Linked DNA regions of Saccharomyces cerevisiae S288C. Changing the gene in region 2 together with the main gene of any one other region gives a genetic interaction. Each region holds a gene or a part of one and is shown on either strand. Other genes may lie near its edges. The genes, in order: RRM3, CLB5, CTF8 and SWI6.

Region 1 (9,137 bases), on a different chromosome or scaffold from region 2:
CTTGATTGAAGACCTTGAAAGTATGCCTCTCTATCTTATCAGCCATCTCCCAGAATTGTTATACACGCCCTTCAATTATTTCTACTATTTTGATAGCTTCAATAAGAAAATCTGTGGCCTAGATTTGCTGACTGAATGCACAGTTCGTCTAATATATATATATATCTGGCAGACCAGGGTCTTCAATTAAATCTAAATATTTGTGTAGGATCTGATTTCCCTCACTTTTTTTTTCGATATATTCCTGGCTAGATCTCCTTTTTCAGTTTCTATTTTTAACACTGAAACTTTCCATTCTGCCAACATTTCGCAGTCTTCTATAAAAAAAAAAAAAGATAATATAAAAATCGCCGCATACGTAGGCTTAGCTAAATAGATGGCTTCTAGATGAATATTTCGGGATTCTGTTAAATTATACAGATAGGCTCACAAGTATTCGAACCTGTATAGAACAAGAAAAGAAAACTTCAACTAGAGTATATGCATTTATTCGTTGCAAGTCATTTCAAAGTTTCTAAACGTTTATAGAAATCTTTTACTCTTTCATTGGTGCGAATCTTTCCTGGATCAAAGTTTAGGACCTGTAAGGTGTCCATAGTTACCGCTCTTGACAGTGCAACATAAACTTGGCCGGCTTCGAAAATTCTCCTCAAGTCGACCTTTAGTCTTTGAATAGTTTGACCCTGTGCCTTATGAATGGACAGTGCCCAGCATAGCATTAATGGAATCTGAGTTCTTTCTAACCCGACATTTTCTCTGGGAATATCAATGGGAAAGCGCTCTGGGACCATGAGCTCATGTATGTACTTGTTTTTACCCACTGTCCACCTCACATAGGGGAATTTTTCCTTATGCGGAGAGATCTTAACTGCATAGTTTATCAAGATTTTCAAACGTTCCAATCTAGCTAATGGCCTGGCATTCAAATCTTGACGAAACTCCTTTGATTCCTTTAACAAGGGATTACCAATGACCCGACTCACTAATCTCATGTCCATGACAACTTCGTCATCCACAATCTTGTAAATTTCCTTCATTTTCACCACCAGCGATTCTGTAACAAAAAACAAAACTTTTCCCAATGATCCATTAACTAATTCTACATCAGGCTTATTTTTCAACATCATTACCTGTGCATCTTCCTTCAATGCGACAACTTTTTCCACCATTAATGAAGAATCTAGTATCGCTTGGTATCTCTCGGGCGCGTTATCTACAGCTTTAAACTCATATAAATCACCAGGTAGAGACTGTAATTTCTTTACGTTGGATAGTTCAACTTCTCTTCTTGTGGCATACAGTTCTGTAGGAGCAATTCCATCGGCATAGTCTATATCCCTATTTAGGTTCCTTATTGTTTTAGCAATGTCGACAGTCAGCTCTCCGTATCTTATGGCATTTAGAATATCAATTAGTTTGTTATCCTGTTGTCTGAAAACCTTTGTCAGTAAAATCGTTTTTTGAATGCACCGTTTCCACATTTCACTTTCAAAACAAAATTTCACAACGTTATGCTCGTCCTTCTTAGCAACTGGTGGTAGTTGAAAAAAATCGCCTGTCAGGACCAATTGAATACCACCAAAGGGATCGTCGTTCTTCCGAATTCTCCTTGCGATTTGCTCTAATTTATCCAACAGATTACCATCGACCATAGAAATTTCATCAATTATCAAAACTTTTGTATACCTCCATGCGGCCAATAAGTCCTTTTGTGATTGTATTTTTTTCACCAATTGGTCGATAGTTTTGTTCCCGATTCCTATACCAGACCACTTATGCAATGTGGAACCACCAATAGTCACTGCCGCTAGCCCAGTTGAGGCGGTAATTGCAATTGATTCTTTCCCATACAAAGAGCTCAATTGTCTTATGATCGTTTGCAAAATGACCGACTTACCTGTACCCGCACTACCGGTGTAAAAGACATTTGTTCTTTTTTTGACGATTAAATTAACCACTCTCTCTTGCTCCATTGTAAGTACCACTGGCGAAGACGCACTTCGGTGGTTCATTGAGTCCATATTTGATACTGTCTTTCTTAGCAGTGGTTTTATTTTCTTTGGTACTGTGAGCTTTAAACCTTGAAACTCCATAGAAGGTTTAGACCTCTTGGCTGGTCTTTCTGAATCAGTAGAAAGTTTCATGCTAGAATCTTCAATATTAATTGTACTAGTGAACGATAATTGTCTAGAATTGGATTTCACGCTAGTAACCTCTCGCAAAGTCTCATCCTCATCAAAATGGTATGTTTTCTGAGTCGTGGACGCAGAGGCAGTCTTATGAAGAGAGCTGGTCATCGACAGCGATCTGCTAGACTTTTTATAGCTATTGAGTCTCGGCACATCTACCAATTTTTTGAATTCTGCGTCGGGATCATCATCTCCAAACGAACCTTGACTCTGCGAGAATAAGGAAGACGAATTATTCCGTATTAATCTTGGCCTAGGAGGTGCTGTTATATTACGGTTACCTTCGTCACCGCTTTCCAAATCAATTATTGTCGTGCTGTTTTTTGAAGCAGCAGCAGATTTTTTGCCGCAACCCATAAAGAACGAAGACAACGTTTGTTGCCTGTATGCGTGAGAGCCAGATGCCGAAGCAGCAGGTGTGCTACCATTTGAGGATCTTTTAGACCATTGCTTCTTGTTACCGGAGGCATGCGACCTGAACATCGGGATGTCTTATAAGAACAAATCTCTCGACTTTTGAGCTTGTTCTCCTCTGCTTATTGTTCGAGATGATGTTTATTTACATATTCTTTGACGTAATAATATCGGAATAATGCATGCGCATTCGGGTTAGCCCCGTTATAGGGAAAATGAAAAAAAAAAAAATAATAAAAAAAAAAAAGACTAAAAAAATAGAAGAGCACGGCAACTTAAAAAGAAAAAAAAAATTTATGATAACTACAAAATAGTAAAGAACCCTGGCAAAAGAAATAAATCCGGTAAGGGAAGATAGACCGGCTTAAAAAGTACTTTTTCAGATTTGTCAAGGGTCTGTGTTAGCGGTGAAGAAGATAGAAGAAGAAGACGAAAGAAGACTATGTCTAAACAATTTAGTCATACCACCAACGACAGAAGATCATCGATTATCTACTCCACCAGTGTCGGGAAGGCAGGGCTTTTCACGCCTGCAGACTACATCCCACAGGAGTCAGAAGAAAACTTAATTGAGGGCGAAGAGCAAGAGGGTAGTGAAGAAGAACCTTCCTATACCGGCAATGACGATGAGACGGAGAGGGAAGGTGAATACCATTCGTTGTTAGATGCCAACAATTCGCGGACATTGCAACAAGAAGCGTGGCAACAAGGTTATGACTCTCACGACCGTAAGCGGTTGCTTGACGAAGAACGGGACCTGCTAATAGACAACAAACTGCTCTCTCAACACGGCAACGGTGGGGGAGATATAGAAAGTCACGGACATGGCCAAGCAATTGGACCGGACGAGGAAGAAAGACCAGCTGAGATTGCAAATACGTGGGAGAGCGCGATCGAGAGTGGTCAGAAAATCAGCACAACTTTTAAGAGAGAAACGCAAGTGATCACGATGAATGCGTTGCCGCTAATCTTCACCTTTATCTTGCAAAATTCGTTGTCACTAGCATCTATTTTCTCCGTCTCACATTTAGGGACGAAAGAGCTAGGTGGTGTTACACTCGGTTCTATGACTGCTAACATCACGGGTCTTGCTGCTATTCAAGGTCTGTGTACATGTCTGGACACACTGTGTGCGCAGGCATACGGTGCCAAAAACTACCACTTGGTGGGTGTGCTAGTGCAGAGATGTGCTGTGATCACCATCTTGGCGTTCTTGCCAATGATGTATGTTTGGTTTGTTTGGTCGGAAAAGATCCTAGCACTAATGATTCCGGAGAGAGAACTATGCGCGCTAGCGGCTAACTATCTACGTGTAACCGCATTCGGTGTGCCAGGATTCATCCTTTTTGAATGTGGTAAGAGGTTCCTACAATGTCAAGGTATATTCCATGCATCCACAATCGTGCTCTTTGTGTGCGCACCCTTGAACGCATTGATGAACTACTTACTTGTTTGGAATGACAAGATTGGGATTGGGTACCTTGGTGCGCCATTATCGGTTGTGATCAACTACTGGTTGATGACGCTCGGATTACTAATATACGCAATGACCACCAAGCACAAGGAGAGACCACTCAAATGCTGGAATGGTATCATCCCTAAGGAACAAGCATTTAAGAACTGGCGTAAGATGATTAACCTAGCTATTCCCGGCGTGGTGATGGTGGAGGCAGAGTTCCTCGGCTTTGAAGTGTTGACAATTTTCGCTTCCCATCTGGGCACCGATGCCTTGGGCGCTCAGTCGATTGTGGCTACGATTGCGTCTCTTGCATACCAAGTGCCTTTCTCTATCTCCGTTTCTACCAGTACACGTGTAGCCAATTTTATCGGCGCGTCGCTATACGACAGCTGCATGATCACGTGCCGCGTGTCCTTATTGTTGTCCTTTGTGTGCTCCTCAATGAACATGTTCGTTATCTGCCGTTATAAGGAACAAATCGCAAGTCTATTTTCTACTGAGAGCGCTGTAGTGAAGATGGTCGTGGACACACTACCTCTTCTTGCGTTCATGCAATTATTCGATGCCTTTAATGCGTCCACCGCCGGATGCCTACGTGGTCAAGGGAGACAAAAAAATAGGTGGGTACATCAACCTAGTCGCATTCTACTGCCTAGGTGTGCCCATGGCATATGTGTTAGCATTCCTGTATCATCTGGGTGTAGGCGGCTTATGGTTGGGTATAACTAGCGCGTTGGTAATGATGAGTGTGTGTCAAGGATACGCCGTTTTTCATGGTGATAGACGCCGTATTCTCGGAGCGGCACGCAAGCGCAATGCTGAGACCCATACATCATGAAACTCCTTCAGGGTCGAATGACGTATAGGGGAGATGCACACCCCCACCCCCGCATCACACCCAGTCTTCTAGCCAATTATGTTGGTAATTTTAAGGGTTTCGCCATGTGGCATGCCACCGGCAAAATAATACACGTGCCCGTACGGCACCAAACGGGCATGCATTTTTGCATTTGAAAAAGTTTGCTGCCCTTCATGTGCTTTTATGTATGCATACACATACACATTCGTGCATACATTCATTTATATATATATAGAGTGTGCATCGTGCATATGATTATTCATTACCACTTTTTTTGTTTTTGATTTTGTTCGTCAAAAGGAAGAGAAAAGGCATATCGAAGGGTGTAATGACAAAAGCTTATACTATCGTTATCAAGCTGGGCAGTTCGTCGCTCGTCGACGAGAGCACAAAAGAGCCAAAGTTGTCCATCATGACGTTAATCGTCGAGACCGTGACGAATCTTAAGCGCATGGGCCACAAAGTGATCATCGTATCCAGCGGCGGCATTGCCGTTGGTTTGGACGCTCTCAACATTCCGCACAAGCCTAAGCAGTTGTCTGAAGTGCAAGCGATTGCCGCTGTCGGACAAGGCCGTCTCATCGCGCGCTGGAACATGCTGTTTTCCCAGTATGGCGAGCAAACAGCGCAGATCCTGCTCACGCGTAACGATATACTGCGTTGGAACCAGTACAATAACGCACGCAATACAATCAACGAACTGCTGGCCATGGGTGTCATCCCTATAGTCAACGAAAACGATACGCTATCCATTAGCGAGATCGAGTTCGGCGATAACGACACGCTTTCTGCCATTACCGCTGCTCTTGTAGGGGCGGATTTCCTGTTCTTGCTCACAGATGTGGACTGCCTATATACAGACAATCCGCGCACTAATCCGGATGCTCGTCCTATTGTTCTCGTGCCAGAGCTATCAGAGGGCCTTCCGGGCGTCAACACTTCCAGTGGTTCAGGCTCCGAGGTTGGCACGGGCGGAATGCGCACCAAACTCATAGCCGCCGACCTCGCCTCTAATGCCGGTATCGAGACTATTGTGATGAAGAGCGACCGTCCAGAGTACGTCCCGAAGATCGTTGACTACATTCAGCATCACTTCCGCCCTCCGCGCCATATCGGAAACGGCACACAGCAGCAGTTTCTCGATCTTCAGGATACGGAGCTCGAACAGTTGCGTCGCTACGATGTTCCCATGCACACCAAGTTCTTAGCTAATGACAACAAACACAAGCTTAAGAACAGGGAATTTTGGATTCTGCACGGGCTCATTACCAAGGGCGCCATTATCATCGACGAGAACAGCTATGATAAACTTTTGTCAAAGGATATGGCTAGTCTGACTCCAAACGCCGTGATCGAAGTCCGAGACAACTTCCACGAACTTGAATGCGTTGATCTCAAAATAGGCCAGCGGTTACCCAATGGCGAATTGGATATCTCGAAGCCGATTCAGTCTGTTGGATGCGTCCGCTCCAATTATACGAGTCTGGAGCTTGCGAAGATCAAGGGCTTACCCAGTGAGAAGATTCACGATGTTTTGGGCTACAGTGTGAGTGAATACGTAGCACATAGAGAAAACATCGCTTTCCCTCCGCAATTTTGAGAATATTCCCTTTTTTTTACCGGATTAAAAAAAAAAAAAAAAATTCTGTTATAGATGCACATCATATCTCTCTCCTTTTTCCCGCTTTTATATATTCGTTCGTATTAGTCACAACAAAAACCAAAAGAATACTCGAAATGTTAGTTTATATATATATATATAGTGTGCGTTCTTTGCGGATATGGAAAATCTTGATATCTGCTGCATTCACGACTATGTCGCGCGGCAAAGGTATGCTCAGCTTACCGTTAATGTATAAAATATTCTCTGCGAAGTTGTAGCTCGGAGAGAACCGGTCCGGCTTCGAGTTCGGAGCTTTGTTCTCAATAAGAATTCGCAGCTTGTAGGCGGCCCCTTTGAACCTCTTCATCTTTACCTCGTATTCCGGCACGTCCTCCTGCTGCTCGTGCGGTGCAGGTGCAGGTGCAGGTGCCTGTTTCAGGTTTCTGTGAGCAATCTCGTTCTTATCAATCTCCTCTATCTTGGCTCCGGAGATTTTGTTCTCGATAGGGAACAATGGTGGTAGTGTTCCATCGTCGGGATCATTATTATCATCGCCATCGTCATTCCTTCCTCTCAATATACTCATCGGGTCTCCGGCCTCCTCTTCTATGATTTTATGCATTTTTGCCTTGTAATCTTGATGTAACTCATCATTCAATACCTCTAGTGCAGGAAGCTCAGCGCCCTTCTTCTTCATCTTGGGGAATGCAATGCGATCTCTGCACAATACCACCGAATCTCGGATCTCACATGACTCCAAGCACCATTCGACCAGTATCTCTCGCAGTTGGATATCATCGCATATCCAGCGCGAGCAATCGCTATTTATGCAGCAATCCCACACATAGCACTCCTGCCCCTTCTTGTCATGGTCCATGCGGTAGCAGGATGTAATAATAGGAATCTCCCATTCGTTTTGGATGATGAGCGGGAACACTATCCTTGCATTAAAATCGACCTCAGGTTTGGGCACTAACGGAGAGTGACAAACATTGATGAACACCTTCCTGCCATCTTGCAGTTTTTCCGGCCCATTAGCGGATAATAGTTTTGTCTTAATTACAAAATCTGCGATGGGCTCAATTTTAGACACCGATCCGTCTGCAGCGTCCACCGACACGTACTTGTCCTCGTTTCTATGACGTTGCTTAATTGGTCTCAATAAGAAATCGGCCATCGGTTAAGGTCTGTTTGTTCGCTTTGAAAAGTCTGTTCCCTGTATTCCTTTTTCTTCCATGCATATGAATTCAAGAATTCCTAGTTTTTTTCTATCATTATTGTCTTCTGATTTTTTTTAAGGAAAAAAAATATCAAGAGTAAAAATAGTGATCAGGTACTGAATCCTGTATTTGTACAATACTGCAATCTAGCACCAAATTTGGCCAAGGAAGTGCCTATGTGTTCTCCAACTAATTTCTTATATGAGCCCTTTTCCAGCGATGCTGTGACGCAGAACTATGACCAAAATCTAAAATGCACCAAATGTGGCGCCTATTATTCGATGGCTTGTTCCCTACGAGAACAGAATGTTTGGACTTGTCTATTCTGCAACCAATCAAACTCAAATGCTGAATTGCCACTGGTACCTTCCAACACCTATACATTGACTTCTGCAAAGAAAGAAATACTTTCAAGACGGACCATTATGATTATAGACGCTATTTGCGATCCTCATGAGCTAAATTATTTAGTTTCCATTCTATGTAATAATTACATCACAAGACAACAAGAGCCACTATCAATAATTACTATTCAGCAATCAGGTCATGTGATTTTACACAATGCTGTGAATCACAGACGTGATGCTGTATTTTCAATAAATGAATTTATGACCAAATATAATCTTGATAAATTAAATGCCAGTTACTTCGAGAAAAAAATTTCAGAAATCAATCAAGAATCATACTGGTTTGATAAATCTACTCAGGGTTCTTTAAGAAAATTGCTACGGGAAATATGCAAGATTGCAAACAAAGTGAATATCAGTTCTAAAAGGGACAAGCGTTGCACCGGATTAGCGCTGTTCGTTTCATCCGTACTGGCGTCTCAGTGCAGTTTGTCAGCCTACTGTCATATAGTTTCATTCCTGAATGGTCCATGTACTAAGGGTGGCGGCAAAGTTATGTCAAGAGAACGTGGTGAAAGCATGAGACAAAACCACCATTTTGAATCCAAAAGTTCACAATTGCAACTATCAAAAAGTCCGACAAAATTTTACAAGAAAATGCTTGAAAAATTTGCAAACCAATCGTTAATCTATGAATTCTTTATAGCTTCATTGGATCAAATCGGTATACTCGAAATGAGTCCATTAATAACTTCGTCAATGGCAGTTTCTCAGTTTGATTCATTCAATGATGAGAGATTCGCAATGTCTTTTCAAAAGTACCTGAACTTGCGTGACCATAATGCCATTTACAATTGTCATTCAAAGATAATGACCGCAAAGAACGCTATTGTCGTTAAGGACTTCCCAAAATATAGCTTAAACCCTAAAAACCTTTCTCTACCATTAGAAATCTCACTAGGTCACAATTCAGCTGAAGCTCCTATACAGTTTCAAACCACTTTTGAAAATCAAACGGAAAAATACATAAGAATTGAAACCCTCTT
Region 2 (8,169 bases):
TGTATCTCAAAATGAGATATGTCAGTATGACAATACGTCATCCTGAACGTTCATAAAACACATATGAAACAACCTTATAACAAAACGAACAACATGAGACAAAACCCGTCCTTCCCTAGCTGAACTACCCAAAAGTATAAATGCCTGAACAATTAGTTTAGATCCGAGATTCCGCGTTTCCACCACTTAGTATGATTCATATTTTATATAGTATATAAGATAAGTAACATTCCGTGAATTAATCTGATAAACTGTTTTAACAACTGGTTACTTCCCTAAGACTGTTTATATTAGGATTGTCAAGACACTCCGGTATTACTCGAGCCCGTAATACAACAGAGCGTCCTTAATAAATATTTCTATAAATATTTGATGTTTACCTTCCGAAAAAGGTACATTGCCAACCTTATTTGATAAATGTGTAAACTAAGATAAGTGTTGAGATCGGATTTTGATAAAGGCATTTGTTTGGGGTGTATGAGTTGGGAAAAGAAACAACAATCATCTCTTGACCAGTTTTCCTACTACTAGTGTGTTATCATATAGCGTAAGAGTATGACATAGAGATTGAGAAACAGAAACTGAATCATAACGAACATCACAGAATTTACATTTCTACACAATTTTCAGAAAAAGTGGAGTGGTGATATATGCTTATTGTTCTACAAGTTCTCTTCATGCGTTTTTGTTTATCTATCTTATTGAATTATTATCTTCATGCATTTATACTTATTAAATTCGATGAACATTTCATATTATTTTTATATGCTTCATAATTCATGTTACTACGATCTATACAGAGTATTATCGTAATGTCTTACCTTTAGCTTGTCACTTAACACATGCACTGCATTTCGAAAAGATGCTTAAGCAAGTTTATCATAATTTGGGAGTGTTCGGTGAATTTATACAGAAAGCCCCTCCAACGTCTTATTGATAATGTATATTTAGTTCATTTACCAAAATACTATCAATTCATCAACCTCCAAGTGGTTTTGACTAAACAGCCCACAATTGACATATGTGACTGCTAAGCAGACCTTTCTTGAAGTAAATTTCAGGGAAACTAAGCTACGGCCTTTCCAAAATATGGGCAGGAACTGCTTAATCCTTTCCTTTTATTAGATAAGCACTTTAGTATTTTTGTTTTTCATGGCCTTATCCTACGTTATTGTCGTGAAAGAAATGGCAGAAATTTCTGTTGTACATAAATTACTAACTGCCTTACCTTGAAAACGGTTTTATTACAAAAATAGGGGTCAAGTGTTTTGTTATCCCTGTTGTTGTTGTTTTATAAGTCCTAATCTCGCTTGAATATCGCCCATATTCACACCCTGTTCTTGACCGTCTACTAAGGTGCCTTAGGGGGACTCAAACTTAAGATCGCCTTCTACGCGTTTTATGCTATGATCATTAGTGTTGATGCATCGGAAGTTTAAAAATTAAGTGCGAGTGCATTAGCACAGTGGAATTATTAGAATGACCACTACTCCTTCTAATCAAACACGCGGAAATAGCCGCCAAAAGACAGATTTTATTCCAAATGCGGGTAACTATTTGTATAATATGTTTACATATTGAGCCCGTTTAGGAAAGTGCAAGTTCAAGGCACTAATCAAAAAAGGAGATTTGTAAATATAGCGACCGAATCAGGAAAAGGTCAACAACGAAGTTCGCGATATGGATGAACTTCGGTGCCTGTCCCTCGAGGAAATAGCAAACTCGTTACAGCTAGCATCTCATAGCATGGGCATAGAGTTTCAGAAATTTTGCTCTTAATGGAAAATATAACCTCTTTGGGGAAAAGAGAAATAGATCCTTTCTCAAAAATTTAGAAAGGAAAAAAAATCAAAATATAATAAAATAGATTTTTTTTAGGTTAATTTTTTGCCAATTTAGCTAGACTTTTGAAAAGATCCAAAAATTTACTAAAATTGAATCTTTCTGGTATTAATTTTGTCCTATACCTCAAGAAGTAAAGTATTCTCGAATTGATACTTCTGAAAAGCGAAAGAAATATAGCTAAAGGATACTGGTTATTTATTCTTTCTTTTTTTCTTTCTTTTTGATTGAGCCAGTGTATAATAAAAACCTACTGCGAGCTATTCAATAAATTGACATAGAATATCTGTTGAAGCGGTTCTTTGATTGAGCATCTGTTTTCCTTTTGTATTTTTGTCCTTTTAGATTCTTTTAACGACATTGGAGAAATTTTAATCATTGTATAAAAACTTCATTCGCTCGTTTGTCAGAAGTTTTTTTATAACTTGCTATTTCCTTCCAAGAAGCCTTTTATTGATTACCCCCTCTCTCTCTTCATTGATCTTATAGATGTCCAACCCAATAGAAAACACAGAAAACTCACAGAATACTAGTTCATCAAGGTTTTTGAGGAATGTACAAAGGTTGGCCTTAAACAATGTAACAAATACGACATTTCAAAAGAGTAATGCGAATAATCCAGCCCTAACAAATTTCAAATCTACACTAAACTCAGTAAAGAAGGAGGGAAGTCGGATTCCTCAATTTACTAGAGAAAGCGTATCAAGATCAACAGCCGCACAAGAGGAGAAAAGAACCCTGAAAGAAAATGGTATCCAACTCCCCAAAAACAATCTTTTAGATGATAAAGAAAACCAAGACCCAAGTAGTCAGCAATTTGGTGCGCTAACTTCTATAAAGGAGGGGAGAGCTGAGCTGCCTGCAAATATAAGTTTACAAGAATCCTCCTCAGCGAAGGAGATAATCCAGCATGATCCCCTAAAAGGCGTTGGATCAAGCACTGAGGTAGTCCATAACTCGGTAGAAAACGAAAAACTTCATCCAGCTAGAAGTCAACTTCAAGTTAGAAATACCGAAAGTGAAACTGATAGTGGAAAAAAAAGACCAATTTCTACAATTGTTGAACAAGAACTGCCCAAAAAGTTTAAAGTGTGCGATGAAAATGGCAAAGAAGAATATGAATGGGAAGACCTAGATGCAGAAGATGTAAATGATCCATTCATGGTCAGCGAGTACGTCAATGATATATTCGAATATCTCCACCAACTAGAGGTCATTACTCTTCCAAAGAAGGAAGATCTCTATCAGCATAGAAATATTCATCAAAATCGAGATATCCTAGTTAATTGGTTGGTTAAAATCCATAATAAATTCGGCTTATTACCGGAGACTTTGTATCTTGCCATTAACATAATGGACAGGTTTTTAGGTAAAGAGCTAGTTCAACTGGATAAGTTACAATTGGTTGGCACATCATGCCTTTTCATTGCCTCTAAATATGAAGAGGTCTATTCTCCTAGTATAAAACATTTCGCATCAGAGACAGACGGTGCATGTACGGAAGATGAAATCAAAGAAGGGGAGAAATTCATTTTAAAGACATTGAAATTTAACCTAAATTATCCCAATCCGATGAATTTTCTGAGAAGAATTTCGAAAGCAGATGACTACGATATACAGTCTCGAACTCTTGCCAAATTCTTATTAGAGATATCATTGGTAGATTTCAGATTTATTGGGATACTACCCTCATTGTGTGCAGCAGCTGCGATGTTTATGTCGAGAAAAATGTTAGGTAAAGGTAAATGGGATGGAAATCTAATACACTATAGCGGCGGGTATACTAAAGAAGAACTTGCGCCCGTGTGTCACATGATAATGGATTATCTAGTGAGTCCAATTGTTCATGATGAATTTCATAGAAAATATCAATCTAGAAGATTTATGAAAGCTTCTATAATTTCCGTCCAATGGGCTTTAAAGGTTAGAAAAAACGGCTATGATATAATGACCTTGCATGAATGAGAAGAGGGGCAGATGCTTAAAATATCTAAAACGATAATCGATAAATGTCCATATAAAATGTATGGCTGCTTTTTAATCATTTCTTTTCACATTTCCATTTATTCTTACAAATTTCACACCCAATTTTAGCGCCTTTCATTCTGTTATTTTTAAACTGACGATAAAAAATCATTCGAAGCCTAAGATTTCCAAAATAAAACTCCATTTTTATTCTCACTAATAACACCACACCATTAATTTTAATTTTTTAATTTTAATTTCAGATTTGTACCATAAGTTTTATTCTATTTCAGTTCAACCGTTTCCGGATGCATGTAGCGAGGGTAGACAAAGAAAAGCATCAGTATCGGATGTTGATATTATGGGAAATATCATAACCTTAGTCTCTTAAAAAATGCTGCTTTCTTCTCATTTTTCATTTCTTTTAAAATTATTTCAGTATAGTTATTATAATTAACATTGGAATAACATTAATAATAATAATTTTTTAATAGTAATAATGATAATAATAATAATAAAAATAAAAGAATAAATTTAAAAACAAAAAAAATTCTAATATTAATGATGATAATAGTAGTAATACTGGTGGTATTATATATGTTGAAGTGAACACGCATATCACTATAAACTATATATACATATATATAGATAGATAGATAGATGCAAAAAATTTTTTCCTTTTAGTTCAGCAAAAAGAAAAGAAAATGTAAAGAGTATGCGAATTCATGAGCATTACTAGTACTAATCTACTTAAGATTAAATAGATTTTGAAAGTTGCTATGCATTTCGGATGTACACCACTTGAAAGTTTGGAAATAAACAGAGCCATACCTTGGTTTCTTGTACTTCAAAATCAATGAATCTAAATGAGTTTTGGAACTAGCGATGTCTTTGACTAGATCAATGCAGAGAGACTGAAACGCTTCATCGTGTATTGGATCGATACCACCACTGTAATGCTGTAGTGTTCCATTCCATAGCTCGTTCTTGTTTCTGTTGGTCATTCTTCTCGCTATATACATTGCCATTGCGCTTACGGTAGATGGAGGTAAATGAATGAATTGGTGGCAGCAGTAGGCATACTCTAAAATAAACTTACCAATATTTCTATTAACCGGATCGTAATCATCTGCCTTGGAGATCCTCCTTAGGAAATTGAGTGGGTTGGGCCAACCAATGTTGAATTCTAAGGAAGTGAGCATGAACATTTCCGCATTTTTTATGTCGTTTTTAGAAGCCGCGCCGTCAGTGATATAAGCGTATTCAGCTAGTTTGGGCAAATTTACCTCTTCAAATTTTGCCGCGATGAAAAGTGAGGTAACTGCCAATAATTGTAACTTGTTCATCGTAACTTTATTTTTAGCTAAAAATCTATCCATTAAGTTTATGGATAGGAATAACGTTTCCGGATAGCATTGAAATTTTTCGTGCACCTCTACCAGCCAATCCACTAATATTGTTCTCATGGAAGGCCTCAAATAATACTTGGACGTTTTGTCGAGTAAATAGTTGTGCGATGGTAACGTTTCTAATTCTCTTCTATATAAAAATGCAAAAATTTCAGCAGAATATTCTGCTACCATTGCAGTATCATCTTTTTCAACATAATCTAGGTCCTGCCAGCCTACTATTTCACTCACTCCTTCAGCGTCTATTCTGCGTTTTTTGTTCACTATCGAAGCAGCATCATCATCTTCTCCTTCTTCTTCTTCTTCTTCTTCTTGCTCTGCTGCCGTTCGATCGTTATATATCTGTCTTTTTTGAACGGCGCTAACAATAGGTCTAATGTTTTCTTCTCTTCGTACTTTGGCCGCCTTGCTCCCTGCTACTATTCTCTTGTTCTGGCTTAAAGGATTATTGTTCACTGGTACATCTGTTAAAGCCCTTCTTGGTTTAGAATCCTGAACCTGCTGCTTACTAGAGCTGTCATTTTTTGAAAGGGCCCTTTTATTTTGAAGAATCTTTAGGTTTGAATTGCACAACTGCCTCTCATTTTCATTATAAATCATAGAATTTCTTTTAATACTCTGCTCATGGTCGTGGTTCTCTCCCATTGTTCAGTAAAGGTGTTCAGCGGCTTTAAATACAGGGAAAAGCGCGTTACTGCTAATTATTAAGCTTATTTTGCTTTGTGTGAGACAACTAATTGGCCGTGAAAAGCTTTAGGTGATTGAGTCTCTTGAAGTACAAAGACAAAAAGACTTCAATAGATAGACAGAAAAAAAACTTTTCTTGAGAAGCTTAAGAATTAGTTCCAAGTAGCTTCTAATAAACCGATGAACGCAAATGAAGTTCCCTTCGCGGTAGATGGCAGTAGCTATCGGCAGTCACTAGGAAAAGTGAGTTTAGCACAGATATGCTGTGGGCGCTATCCCAATGTGGGCAAAGCGCGTGAACATCACGACGCGCCTTCCCGTTAAATTTTGTACCATCAAGGGCGCGTCTTCACTCGAGATGCGCGTTCTTTTGCTGGTTCTTTTCACTGAGGGCACAGAATATGATACCCACAGTATGACAAGTTTTAATCGAGATAGTTTGACGTTCGTTTTTTACTTTGAATATACTCGTAGTCTTTTTACTTTTTGAGTATAAAAAAAAAATGACTAGCAAAATAAAATTAGTAGTCTAAAAAAGAAAGCTCGCACTCAGGATCGAACTAAGGACCAACAGATTTGCAATCTGCTGCGCTACCACTGCGCCATACGAGCTTTTGAATTATGGTAATTTTGATTATCCTAGAATGTTATATCTCAATATCTCAATATATTTTGGACATCTATGAAACACCCATAAAGCAGCCGCTACCAAACAGACAAGATTCAGTATGTAAGGTAAATACCTTTTTGCACAGTTAAACTACCCAAACTTATTAAAGCTTGATAAATTACTGAAATTCCACCTTTCAGTTAGATTCAGGCCTCATATAGATTAGATATAGGGTACGTAACATTCTGTCAACCAAGTTGTTGGAATGAAAGTCTAAAATGTCATCTATTCGGTAGCACTCATGTTACTAGTATACTGTCACATGCGGTGTAACGTGGGGACATAAAACAGACATCAAATATAATGGAAGCTGAAATGCAAAGATCGATAATGTAATAGGAATGAAACATATAAAACGAAAGGAGAAGTAATGGTAATATTAGTATGTAGAAATACCGATTCAATTTTGGGGATTCTTATATTCTCGAGAGAATTTCTAGTATAATCTGTATACATAATATTATAGGCTTTACCAACAATGGAATTTCGACAATTATCATATTATTCACCAATTAATCACAAGTTGGTAATGAGTTTGATAACAAGTTACTTTCTTAACAACGTTAGTATCGTCAAAACACTCGGTTTTACTCGAGCTTGTAGCACAATAATACCGTGTAGAGTTCTGTATTGTTCTTCTTAGTGCTTGTATATGCTCATCCCGACCTTCCATTTTTTTTTTCTTGGAATCAGTACATAGCAGGTATGAGTTGTTAGAGCTGTTACAAGTTACGGTAAACATTTCAACACACCGTTATTTAACGAATTTATTTGAGAAAGTGGTGTATTTTAAGATATATGTTTGGTTTCGATTGTTGGCAAAGACTATAATATTATGCATATAGGATATACCAAAAATTCTCTCTGAGGATATAGGAATCTACAAAATGAATCTACATTTCATTTTATTACGTCATATATGAATACTAGTCAATAGATGATAGTTAATTTTTATTCTAGCATATATTTAAGTTTGTTTGCGAAACCCTATGCTCTGTTGTTCGGATTTGAAATTTTAAAACTACATTAATGTGTTAGTTTTTCTTTCTTTCTTTCTTTGTCTTGACGTGATTTGGACTTCTGTCTTGCATTCGCGTCCATTCATCTGACCCAATATTCCTTTTGGTTTTGTTATCCTTATAAAAAGAAAGGAAGCTTCTTAGAGGGAAAAAAATGATGAAGAGTAATGCCAAAATATAAATAAATAAATAAATATGAAAATCATTTTCTATTTTTAATAGAATAAGAAGAGCATCTTAAGATTACAATTTCAAGAAATAGTTTACACAGTATATCCAATAACTCCAATAAACTACTTTCCTATACAAATTTCTATGGTGGGATTAATAGTAAAACTTCTGTACTTCTCTAATTCACCAAGAAATTAAGGTAAACATCTGGTAAGCACTATCCAGCTTTTTGCTATTACACATATGGCTTTTCTGCAATCATTTCTTCCCATTTTGTCTCAAGCCGTTAGTCTTGAAACCACAGGCGGAGTAGAGTTACTTGATGCGGTATTTTACATGCCTTTTTTCACTGCAAAAAAAATGAAATACATATTTACACGATTTGCAGGACAGTTTACGATAGTGA
Region 3 (3,455 bases), on a different chromosome or scaffold from region 2:
CATTGCATCCGGTCGAGATGAAGGCAGCTTTGAAGCTGAAGTTTTGCAGAACACCGCTATTCTCCATCTATGATCAGTCCACGTCTCCATATCTCTTGCACTGTTTCGAACTGTTGAACTTGACCTCCAGATCGTTTGCTGCTGTGATCAGAGAGCTGCATCCAGAATTGAGAAACTGTGTTACTCTCTTTTATTTGATTTTAAGGGCTTTGGATACCATCGAAGACGATATGTCCATCGAACACGATTTGAAAATTGACTTGTTGCGTCACTTCCACGAGAAATTGTTGTTAACTAAATGGAGTTTCGACGGAAATGCCCCCGATGTGAAGGACAGAGCCGTTTTGACAGATTTCGAATCGATTCTTATTGAATTCCACAAATTGAAACCAGAATATCAAGAAGTCATCAAGGAGATCACCGAGAAAATGGGTAATGGTATGGCCGACTACATCTTAGATGAAAATTACAACTTGAATGGGTTGCAAACCGTCCACGACTACGACGTGTACTGTCACTACGTAGCTGGTTTGGTCGGTGATGGTTTGACCCGTTTGATTGTCATTGCCAAGTTTGCCAACGAATCTTTGTATTCTAATGAGCAATTGTATGAAAGCATGGGTCTTTTCCTACAAAAAACCAACATCATCAGAGATTACAATGAAGATTTGGTCGATGGTAGATCCTTCTGGCCCAAGGAAATCTGGTCACAATACGCTCCTCAGTTGAAGGACTTCATGAAACCTGAAAACGAACAACTGGGGTTGGACTGTATAAACCACCTCGTCTTAAACGCATTGAGTCATGTTATCGATGTGTTGACTTATTTGGCCGGTATCCACGAGCAATCCACTTTCCAATTTTGTGCCATTCCCCAAGTTATGGCCATTGCAACCTTGGCTTTGGTATTCAACAACCGTGAAGTGCTACATGGCAATGTAAAGATTCGTAAGGGTACTACCTGCTATTTAATTTTGAAATCAAGGACTTTGCGTGGCTGTGTCGAGATTTTTGACTATTACTTACGTGATATCAAATCTAAATTGGCTGTGCAAGATCCAAATTTCTTAAAATTGAACATTCAAATCTCCAAGATCGAACAGTTTATGGAAGAAATGTACCAGGATAAATTACCTCCTAACGTGAAGCCAAATGAAACTCCAATTTTCTTGAAAGTTAAAGAAAGATCCAGATACGATGATGAATTGGTTCCAACCCAACAAGAAGAAGAGTACAAGTTCAATATGGTTTTATCTATCATCTTGTCCGTTCTTCTTGGGTTTTATTATATATACACTTTACACAGAGCGTGAAGTCTGCGCCAAATAACATAAACAAACAACTCCGAACAATAACTAAGTACTTACATAATAGGTAGAGGCCTATCCTTAAAGATAACCTTATATTTCATTACATCAACTAATTCGACCTTATTATCTTTCGAATTGAAATGCATTATACCCATCGGTACGTCTAGCTTTGTCACCTTCCCCAGTAAACGCTGTTTCTTGCCGACAAACAATGTGGCCCTCTCTCCGTCAATCTGTAACGACCCAAATCGTATTAAAGTTTCGCCGTCCTGTTCACTGAACCTTCCCTCATTTGGAGAATCTCTCCTCGCCAGCGACGCAAAGTCCTTAGGCAACTCTAGTTCACCTTGAATCTCCAGCATCATCATCCCAAGCGGTGTTATCACCGTGGTCTGCTTTTCTCTTGACTGTGTCAACTTCTGCCATTGACTAGCATCTATATCTACACTAGGCATTCTTTTCAGCTGTTTATTGGGCTGAATGATAGTGATAATTCTTTTTTCTATCACTCCTTTGGCTATATTAGTGGTTAGCTTACTAAAAAAGATTAAAGGAAAAATGAAATTCAAGATGCTAACGTTGACATGTATATTTTAAGAAAACAAAAATCATACAAAGAGGAGATCGGATATAAAAGAATAACATAAATATGTTTAGTGCATTAGGTAAATGGGTCCGAGGCTCTCGCAATGATAAGGACTTTGTGACGAAGTATACCGCAGATTTATCACAAATAACTTCACAGATCCATCAATTAGATGTCGCGTTAAAGAAAAGCCAATCCATCTTGAGTCAATGGCAATCAAATCTGACCTTTTATGGTATTGCGTTAACGGTATTGGCCCTGAGCTACACATATTGGGAGTACCATGGTTATCGACCATACCTTGTGGTGACTGCGCTACTATGCATAGGCTCGCTAATCTTGTTCAAATGGGCATTAACCAAACTCTATGCATTTTATAACAACAATAGGTTACGCAAGTTGGCAAAACTCCGTGCAATTCATCAAAAGAAACTGGAAAAGTTAAAGGAAGAGACCCACTATAATGCTACAAGCTCAATCATCCAACGGTTTTCTTCCGGTGAAGATCAAAACGACGATGCCATGGTACTTCTAGATGATGAATTAAATGCTAAATACCAAGAATTAAACAATCTAAAGACAGAGCTAGAAAAATTTAAGAAGGAAAGCCATGTAAAGGGCCTAAAGAAGGAAGACAGCGATGCATGGTTCGACAAAATCATCAGCGTACTGGCAGGCGGTAATGAATTGGACTCAACAAGTTCGCTCTCTCCCTTCAAAAAAATCATATGTCCACAGTGTCATTGGAAATCCAATTGCTACAGATTGGCCAGTAAGCCAATCATCTTTATCTGTCCTCACTGTAACCACAAAATAGACGAAGTAAAGGAAAGAGAAGACGCCATTGAAGCAAAACAACCGGCACAGCCTTCGCAGTCGGAGAAGGAAAAAACAAAATGATTTTGCGTTAGAATAACTACGTACCCCTATATAATATATTTTTATATCATTATTTAGACAAGGACATGATAGCGTTGACTAAGTCACCATTGTGAGCTTTCAGGGCTTTGATGGCTTGGTTTTTGGAAACGTTAGTTTGTTGAACGACTAACTCGATATCATCCTTATTCAAGTCACCGGCATCAACTTCACCTTCTTCGTCATCTTCTTCTGCTGCGGCGTTGACACTGCCTTCTGCGGCGGCTTGCATGTCAGCTTGGATGTCTTCTGGGGACTTGGTAGCGACGTCTTCGTTAGATGGCATAATACCGCTAGCTTGAGCTTGTTGTTGAGCAGCGGCTAGCTTTTGGGTAAAGTTGTCAACCTTAGCTTCACCGAAGACAACGTAGTTACCACCGGCAGATCTGAAGACTTCTGGCTTTTCAATAGCATAGATTTGGTTGTCCTTCTTCCTGAAAGTGACTCTGATGATACCTGGGATTTGCTTCAAACCCAATTTGCCAATCAATTCTCTGGCTTTCTTTTCGTTCTTGTTTAAGACGGTAACGTTGGCGTTTTCTGGGATAGCAGACATTATCAATTGAGTATGTGGGTGTGTGGTTGCTTGTAAGGGTTGCTCCCAGAAGGAGACTTTACCTTAGTTCTTGTTTAAAATAATC
Region 4 (9,142 bases), on a different chromosome or scaffold from region 2:
CTTTATCTTATAGTTACACTTTTTTCGTGACTGTTACAACGCCATTGAAATTGATCCTTTCGAGTTCCCTCAGGCATACAAGCAGAATATTTCTTCTATACGGTAAATTTGTTGTCATGCGCATGTCTTTCGTTCACTATTCTGTCTTCATACAAGTATACCAGTCTCGTATCGTCCAGTCTTGCTAAGTATAAATTTGGTGTGCATGCGTTCCGATATTTCTCTTCAGATAATCATAACATTTCTCCACGGTCGTCAATAACAGGTTCACAGTTTTATTCTCAATGTCCTACTACATACTACCCATTTTTGTCTATATTATTTGTATGAGGCTTTAGCAAATACCTCTTAAAAGTAAACATTTTTGAAATTTAATAGTACCCTCATATAGAGCATTTCTCATTCTTACACTTGTAATATTGACGGTGATGAGAAAGCTACCAGGAGAACATCAACGTTTGGAGGAGACAGACCGACGGACCACACTTCACCAGTATGGCATCGCCCTGCCTACCATCAGCCTAGAGAACGGGCAGACGGATTGACTTCCCTTTCCCCAAGGGGCCGCCTTCTTGTTGCCGGCCTGCCGAAGTGTGTTTTAGAATTTCTTCGAAAGAGAATAGTCTCGACAACGTTTTGTCTTGGAAAACCTTTTGTGTACGGATGTTTAGTTAATAATAATGTACAGATGTTAATATGGTTTTTTTTTTTTGATATGAAAACGCCAAAACGCGAAAAAAAAATCCCGTGGCCCTTTTTTCTTAAGTTCATCTCTATGGTTTGCTTTCGTGTTTTGATGAGAATGAACAGCGGCAGTCGACGTAAACTAAAATTCATCAATGGAAACTCTTTCTCTACTTTCATTCATTTAGAATTGAATTATAGCAATCTACTTTACGTACAAAAGTCCATATACATCTGCCACGACACATCAAAGATTAATAATCACAAGAAGGCATGAGCTCGCAATTTCCTTCGTCCCCCTACAGGACAGTGGATCCGTACTCTCCACCAAATTACAAACAGCAGCCTAATTGTCCCTCATCCAATTATGAGAAAGCTGGTAAAACTGCGTCAGAATCAATTGGAAATTTCGGGAAAGGAGATTATCCAACTCCATTTCCTTCTTCCAGTATAGGAAGGGTTTCGTCTCCCGTTAGGTCGAATAAGGTTGACGCCATCCCTTCCTCTCCAGCTTTTCCTGGCCAGTTGGCAGAAACGTCACCCAAGTTTTCTTCCAAACTTTCTTCTCCTTCAAGGCATACTAGAGTCATCAATGCTGAACTAGATCCTAGCAAGATCAGCACCATTACTGTAGGGCGCAATAGTTCGCAATGTGATGTTGCGCTCTGTAAGAATAAGTTCATATCCAGAGTACACGCTAGTATAACTTATTTACCACAAACAAATGAAGTGAAGATTCACTGCTTCAGTATGAACGGATTAATCGTTACCTATCGTAAGCAATTTGATTGTTATCAATTAAAGGATACCATGAATAACAATAATAGGGCATATAGGCTTGTTCCCAGATTCTCTAACGAAAAATGTGTTAAAGAAATTCAAGACGAGGGAGGATTCATTAATTTCACTCTGGAAGAGGGAGACACCGTTTATATGACATATTACAAGGGTATCATGTTGGATTTTAGGCAGGTTTTACTTCGCATTTCGTTAAAAGAAAAAAACTCTTCTTCAGAGCCGTTAAGATTCGAGAAGAAAGCTGAATTTGAAAGTGAAAGTGAAACGAAACATATGGGTAGTATAAGGAAGCATCCATTGATTTTTACTGACACTTCGATGGACAGACCCAAAAAAATACTTAAGGATAGCAACAAAATCTCAATTGGTAGTGATTCTGGCGTTGCAGAAAGGATGCTAAACCACTTCCTAAATTCTAAATCGTCCCCACTTTCATCCGTCTCCTCTGTTGATCACGAGGAACAAACCCTGAGACAAGATTCACTATCATCTGATAAAAATCCTATGACTATGAAGAAACCAAAACTTAACAAGAGGGTCTTACCTTCAAAGCCAAAAAAATCGGTGAAAGAGAATTTGGATGAGCTATCTAGAAGAAATATTGATGTTATGCATCTACAGCATATTTTAACCAATCACCTAGCTTTTGCAAACGTCCAGCAGACGCCATTATTCCAATTACAGCAGGTGAACTCACAAATTTCTGAGCTTTCAAGAGATGAATTACGTTCGATTTTGAGCGACGCGAAATGTGTCGGTGTCATTTACCGTCATGGTAAGGACGCCGCCGGCAAACCATTGGACGAAGAGTATTTCTACGATTTAGAAAACGATGATGATTACGAGAGAAGAAACTTGGTGAGTTCATTAAAAGGTGGAAGGACAGGCTTAAGATCTTGTAGAAGGACACATAAACAATATTTTTGGAAAAAGCCAGCAAAATAGAACATTTTATTCCATCGGATATATGATAAGAACAAGAAAATAAAACATCAAGTGCCTATATATCCCATCTGAGTACGTAAAAATTTTGTAAGAATACAGTTATGTAGTAAAATAAAAGTAAATAAAGCGCTAAAACAAAAAAATAACTTCAAATAAAGTCATAAAAGTTAATGCAATGAAATCACATGCCCTCATGAAGCATGCTTTTTTAAAAAATCTTGCATTTCGTCAGTGTCAATGTCTTGTGGGTCTTCAGAAGATATGGCCTGTAACAAACCATCAAGCATATTGTCAACTTTATTTTCGTCGATTTTCAAACATAAAGATAACACTCTTCTAAATTTATTCTCTAATTCTGATTGTTTGGTGCTGATTGTATCCAATACATTGGTTAGGTGTTTATCATTCCGCTTGTATGCATTTATTCTTGCCTTCAATAAGACCGTTGGTGGAAGCATCGATTGGATTTTTTCTGCGGGAAGTTGATTTCGTATCTGTTCCATTATCTGCTCTTTCGACTCCGCTTCTAATAGTTTGGAAATATCGCCTTCATAATTCTTTTGTAATTTATCCTCCAAGAAATCTGAAAGGAACTCTACTTTGAAGGGTTCATCTGCATCATATTCGCTAGAGTCCCAATCAATACCTGAACTTTCATCTGCAATTATTCCTAGCTTTTTGCTCTCTTCCCTAAAACTTTCCTCTTCTTCTTCAATTCCTGCTTTTAAATTGGTCAATTGCTCTTGCATTAGTGAGTATTCATCTTTCAATTGCTTCACATTTGCTAGTTGTTCTCTAGAATTAGCTAATTCTTCTCGCTGTTCGTTCAATTCCTTGTGTAGTTTTTCTAATTTCTCATTATATTGCACTGTTTCATTCTCATAATCTTTCGAGATTGAATTCAGTAAATTTTGGACATCATTAATTAACGAAGTTGTTTCAGGTGGGTTTTTCAACAGTTGAGACCTTATTTTTTTGGCCTTTCCATTTTTTTGACCGTCGTAATCACCCTTAGAGACCATCTTCGAGTTTTCGTCACCGCCGTTCGTATTTTGTAATTTTGAAGTACCTGCCCCAAAATCCACGGGTCTCAACCCTGATTTGTTTGCAATAAATGGGTCAGCACCGTAATCTAATAAAGCGTCTACTATTGAAATGTTTCCCAATCTTGCTGCAATGTTCAAGCAAGTATCGCCATTAGAGTCCTGCGCATTGAGCATGTTTGCTATTATCCATTTCAGGTCCAAATTTTCTAGTATAGAGTCCTTTCTTTCCCCATTTTTGTCATTCGGTTTGCTTTCTTTTTCGTTAGTACCACTTTGAATGGGTCTATTTTGTTTCTTGACAATCCATCCCATTAAAATATCTAAATAATATTTCGCAGCTGCTGAACAGCCAGTCATACCAGACGTAATAATGATATGGTGCAAAATTGTTCTATTCATTGAGTCTTCCAAAATTAAACATGGATATAAATAATCTAGAAGTGCCTCAAAAGTACCAGAGTCGTAATTATTTACTGATTTGACAGCTTTCACTAGGCATGACTCCCCCATATTATCACCATATAATCTGTTTGAACCATGCTTAACCAGGTGTTTCACTAATTCCAGGTTTGCTATTGAAGTCAGCCAATGTAATGGTGTGTTTCCATGCTCATCTACAGGAATATTAAGATTTAATTGAGTATTAGGAAAAGCGTCGTTTACCTCTTGCAAAAGGCTATCAAATGATACGTGCTGTTGTTGTTGGTTTGAGCTCCCCCCTTCTGAATTTCTATTACTGCTGTCATTATTAAGGGATGTAGGCATTTCTTGAATTTCTGGAAATAACAACCGTTGTAAGAATGCCTCTAGTTTCATCTTCTGTTCATTATCATTTACAACTGGAGAAGGTAGTGCTTTCATGATTTTCAGTGGACTGCTTAAAAAGTCAGAAGTTAGGTCATGAGTGAATGTTATGATAGGTCCAGCGGTTCTGTCATTGTCATCAGTGCCATTATTTTCATTGTCGCCGCTAGGGCCCTTATTAATATCATCGTTAGGCTTGCCTCTGGCAGTATTCGGAGTGGAGTCACTCTCAGCATCTATTACAGAGGTATCTATTTTTAGTTTTTTTAAAGGAGAGCCTAATTCTCTGTGTGCATCAGAATCCAGGCTCATATCTTGTAAATTATTAATCCTCTTTGAGCTGATATTATCCTTAGAATTTTCACTTTTGGTCTTGTTTTCTGGTAGTTTCGAATGGCTGGGATCTTCTTCATCCTGATCTGTTTCAGGCTCCTCAAATTCGAATGCATCCTGGAACAAACCGAATAAATTTAGCATGTTTAATAATTGTAAACATTTTTCCAGCTCTATCCATAACTCACCTCGGTCGTCTGTATTTACAGCAATTCCATAATGTGCCAGTAATTTATTTCTTTCCTCATCAGTGGGGAAACTATCGGGGTTGGTCTCGTTAATATTCCCCGTGTCATGATATTGCTGCAAAATGGGCAGAAAATGTTTCAGGAGGAAATGGCCAGTCTCCGAGTCTCTAGTGAGTGTCAAAGGGATCTCATTGTGAGGTCCTAAGTATCGTACCACTTCTTCCAACGCCATCCTCTCGAGAATTATACTGTGTTCCCCTTTATTATTCTTTTTTTTTTAGCTATTGCTTAGTTCATATTGATGTTTCTCAATCGTGTTTTTTGTTGTTTTTTTTTATTATTATGAAATCGTTGGAGAAGGAAACTAAAAAAAAAAACTAAGATTTGGTGAATGATCTTATCCAAACGGTCCAGATGAAGACAAAAAAAGGAACAATAAGCTTTCTTATTTTATTTGATTCAATTTTTAGAAACTAATTGTCCACATTTTAAATAAATTCTATGGCTAGTAACGCTGCAAGGGTTGTCGCTACAGCGAAGGATTTTGACAAAGTTGGGTTAGGGATCATCGGATACTATCTTCAGTTATATGCGGTGGAATTGATACTGAGTGAAGAAGATCGGTCGCAAGAGATGACCGCACTAGCGACAGAACTTCTTGATACTATTGAAGCGTTTAAGAAGGAGATTGGCGGCGAGAGTGAAGCAGAAGACAGTGACAAAAGCTTACACGTTATGAACACGCTAATACATGATCAAGAAAAAGCCAAAATTTATATGCTAAATTTTACAATGTCGTTGTATAACGAGAAACTGAAACAGCTAAAAGATGGTCCCTGGGATGTTATGTTAAAAAGATCACTTTGGTGTTGTATTGATTTATTTTCATGCATTTTACACCTGTGGAAGGAAAATATAAGTGAAACGAGTACAAATTCATTACAAAAACGAATTAAGTATTGCAAAATTTATTTGAGTAAATTGGCAAAGGGTGAAATTGGTTCCAGCGACGAGAAAACGTTAGATTATGCAGATTTTGCGGATGATAGCGAGGAGATTAAGGATGAAGATGTTGATCACCAGACAAGCGATTTGGAAAACAATAATAATGATAAAGTCGAAGGCCTAGCCCCAAAAGACCAAACAACATCATACGAGCCTGTGGATGAGGTACCTGAATTTATTGATGATGCCGATAGCGTAAACGAAGAAGAACAGACCGTCGACAAGAACGAAGATGCAATAACAAAAGACGAACAACAAGTTGTGAAGAAAGAAGTGGATCTTACGCGCCCTTCTGCACCATCAGAACCTGCTGCAGCAGAGCATAAATCGTATACAAAGGATGAGTTGACAAAAATTATGGACAGGGCCAGTAAAATAGAGCAAATTCAAAAACTTGCCAAATACGCCATAAGCGCATTGAATTATGAAGACCTGCCCACCGCCAAAGATGAGTTAACTAAGGCGTTGGATCTGTTAAATTCTATTTGAATAAGATAAAGTTTGGTTTGTTGATCCGTTGAAGGAGGTATATATTAATATTAGTAGTTACGTATTAAATGTTAGAAAGGAAAAGGAATCCTGTATAATGCAAAATGAAATCGATACAAATTTGATTTGAGAAAAATGAGTCTATATCAAGAATATGATGGTATTGCGTCCCTGCATCAAATACGGTATAATGTACATGTTGACTTGTGTTGAGCAAATGAAAACATGGGAGGTTGAAGGCAGAAAAAAGTCCAAAAGGAAAAAAGCTTAGAACTTCAAAGTCTTAGGCTTTTCCCATGGGTATTCTTGGTTTGTGAAATGGCCATAAGAAGCGGTTGGCAAGTAGATTGGTCTAGCTAAGTCCAACTCCTTGACCAATACACCAGGTCTCAAGTCAAAGTTCTTGCTGATAATGTCGATAATTTCTTCGTCAGACTTGGTCGCAGTACCATAGGTGTCAACGTGCAAGGACAATGGTTCCGCAATACCGATGGCATAAGAAAATTGAACTTGAACTCTCTTACATAAACCAGCGGCAACTAGGGACTTGGCAACCCATCTAGCGGCATAAGCGGCAGAACGATCAACCTTAGAGTAGTCCTTACCGGAGAAGGCACCACCACCGACGGATGAGGCACCACCGTAAGCGTCGACGATGATCTTTCTACCGGTCAAACCAGCGTCACCTTGAGGACCACCGATGACGAATCTACCGGAAGGTTGGATAAAGTATTTGGTGTTTTCGTCCAACATGTCTCTTGGGATGACTTTTTCAATGATCTCGGACTTTAGTTGCGCTCTTAAGTCCTCGGTCGTGATTTCGTCAGCATGTTGAGCGGAGACGACGACGGTGTCGATTCTTTGTGGAACCCATCTACCGTGGTCATCCTTGTATTCGACGGTGACTTGAGTCTTGGTGTCTGGTCTCAACCACGCTAAAGAGCCATCTCTTCTCGCGTCAGCCATGGCCATGTTTAGTTTATGAGCCAAAAGAATAGTCAAAGGCAAACCCTCTGGAGTTTCATCTGTGGCGTAACCAAACATGATACCTTGGTCACCGGCACCGATGTCTTCCAAATCCTTCTCCTCGTGGACACCTTGGGCGATATCTGGAGATTGTTGCTCAATGGCGACAAGGACGTTACAGGTCTTATAGTCGAAACCCTTGGCGGAATCATCGTAACCAATCTTCTTGATGGTGTCTCTGACGATTTTTTGGTAATCCAACTGTGCCTTGGTAGTAATTTCACCAAAGACCATAATCATACCAGTCTTTGCCGCGGTTTCACACGCAACTTTGGAGTGAGGGTCCTCGGCTAAACAAGCGTCCAAGATGGCGTCGGAAACTTGGTCACAGATCTTATCTGGGTGACCTTCACCAACGGATTCAGAAGTGAATAAAAATGTACCGGCCATATTTTCGTTTATCTTATTTTTTCTTGTTTTTAGGGTAAATTCCTGGTTTTTACTCTATTTTTTTTTCGAAGCTAACCGAAAAACAACGATGAATAACAGACAACACCAGTCGATATATACGTCCCAAACCAATCCCATTAAGTACTAAACGGAAAACTTTTTACTCTTCCCTTTTTCATCGATACCAGAGTGAAAAACTACGATGAGGCTAAAATTTCCTCGAGACAAGAACCCGAAAAAAGAAATGCACTAGTAGGCAAGGGCGCCACCACAGTTTTCCTGTGAAAAAAAAAAAAGAAAGTATTCGTGTGTAGTGATATATAACTTTATCTTCAAATTCTATTTCCGTCTTACGTCCGTTTCGGTACCTTTTTTTCAAAAGATCTTGCCTGACATTTTTTTGAACAATATAAAAGTGCCAAGCGTGCTCATTATTGGAAGTGCGCACCAGGTGAGGAATTGAATGTTGCCATCAATTGTTTGAGTAAACACTGCCCATCTGCCACTTTCGGTACCCATCCGAGTACTTAGTAATAGAAATATATATTATGTCTAGTGCCATCGTTGCTAAACTGAACAAAGAGGACATCATTAAGGACACCGTCAAGGACTTGGCGTTCGAGATTCTTGGTGAGTTGTCGGTTTCGTACGTTGATTCTGACGACATCAAATTGGGCAATCCCATGCCAATGGAAGCTACGCAAGCCGCTCCTACCATCAAGTTCACGCCCTTCGATAAAAGCCAATTGTCAGCCGAGGATAAACTCGCTTTGTTGATGACTGACCCGGACGCGCCCTCTAGAACAGAACATAAGTGGTCGGAGGTTTGTCACTACATCATCACTGATATTCCTGTCGAGTACGGACCTGGGGGAGATATTGCCATTTCGGGGAAGGGTGTCGTGAGAAATAACTATATTGGGCCTGGTCCACCAAAGAACTCCGGTTATCACAGATACGTGTTCTTCCTGTGCAAGCAACCCAAGGGAGCGGATTCGTCCACTTTTACCAAGGTTGAGAACATTATCTCCTGGGGGTACGGTACTCCTGGTGCGGGTGCCTATGACTATATCAAGGAGAACAATCTGCAACTGGTCGGTGCCAATTATTACATGGTCGAAAACACGACCGTTGATTTCAACTATGACATGTAAGGTGCAGCAACCGGCTCGTATAGATACGGATAAGATAGAGTATATTGTGCAAACGCGTATATGAAATAGTGAATATATACATGCCGAACGGTTCCGTTTTTTTTTTTTTTGGCTCGTTGATTTTTCCTATCCCTTTGAACTTTTCTATCTTTTAAGGGATAGAGGGGCTGTTCAGGGAAGGAAAGATCTCAATTGGTATATAAAAAGGGGGCAGCAAGAAACGAATTGCAGTGCTCCTTTTCCCTACCAGTGCATCAATACAAGAACAAGAGAACAAGCA

What was found.
Region 1: mutations in CLB5 (region 2) and RRM3 together harm fitness more than expected from each alone (negative genetic interaction), as found in Saccharomyces cerevisiae (5 studies listed by BioGRID, with this or other methods).
Region 3: mutations in CLB5 (region 2) and CTF8 together harm fitness more than expected from each alone (negative genetic interaction), as found in Saccharomyces cerevisiae (5 studies listed by BioGRID, with this or other methods).
Region 4: mutations in CLB5 (region 2) and SWI6 together harm fitness more than expected from each alone (negative genetic interaction), as found in Saccharomyces cerevisiae (5 studies listed by BioGRID, with this or other methods).

What each region holds. Positions count from the first base shown.
Region 1 is NC_001140.6:170,299-179,435, forward strand, and holds RRM3 (DNA helicase), read right to left. Parts: upstream 2,673-9,137; coding exon 501-2,672; downstream 1-500. Other genes in the region: mitogen-activated serine/threonine-protein kinase SLT2, read right to left, coding at 1-46; ERC1 (Erc1p), read left to right, coding at 3,046-4,791; YHR033W (putative glutamate 5-kinase), read left to right, coding at 5,250-6,521; PIH1 (Pih1p), read right to left, coding at 6,667-7,701; GTPase-activating protein NEL1, read left to right, coding at 7,921-9,137. UniProt on the Saccharomyces cerevisiae protein: 5' to 3' DNA replicative helicase recruited to paused replisomes to promote fork progression throughout nonhistone protein-DNA complexes, naturally occurring impediments that are encountered in each S phase where replication forks pauses.
Region 2 is NC_001148.4:769,322-777,490, forward strand, and holds CLB5 (B-type cyclin CLB5), read right to left. Parts: upstream 5,862-8,169; coding exon 4,554-5,861; downstream 1-4,553. Other genes in the region: B-type cyclin CLB2, read left to right, coding at 2,332-3,807. UniProt on the Saccharomyces cerevisiae protein: Required for efficient progression through S phase and possibly for the normal progression through meiosis. Interacts with CDC28.
Region 3 is NC_001140.6:484,867-488,321, forward strand, and holds CTF8 (Ctf8p), read right to left. Parts: upstream 1,766-3,455; coding exon 1,364-1,765; downstream 1-1,363. Other genes in the region: ERG9 (bifunctional farnesyl-diphosphate farnesyltransferase/squalene synthase), read left to right, coding at 1-1,313; LNP1 (Lnp1p), read left to right, coding at 1,960-2,796; EGD2 (Egd2p), read right to left, coding at 2,846-3,370. UniProt on the Saccharomyces cerevisiae protein: Essential for the fidelity of chromosome transmission. Required for the DNA replication block checkpoint.
Region 4 is NC_001144.5:513,828-522,969, reverse strand, and holds SWI6 (transcriptional regulator SWI6), read right to left. Parts: upstream 5,031-9,142; coding exon 2,619-5,030; downstream 1-2,618. Other genes in the region: 60S ribosomal protein eL37 RPL37A, read right to left, coding at 301-307; TOS4 (Tos4p), read left to right, coding at 958-2,427; VTA1 (Vta1p), read left to right, coding at 5,300-6,292; methionine adenosyltransferase SAM1, read right to left, coding at 6,560-7,708; YLR179C (uncharacterized protein), read left to right, coding at 8,257-8,862. UniProt on the Saccharomyces cerevisiae protein: Part of a complex involved in cell-cycle-dependent transcription. SWI4 and SWI6 are required for formation of the cell-cycle box factor-DNA complex. The repeated element in the upstream region of HO (5'-CACGAAAA-3') is called the cell cycle box (CCB).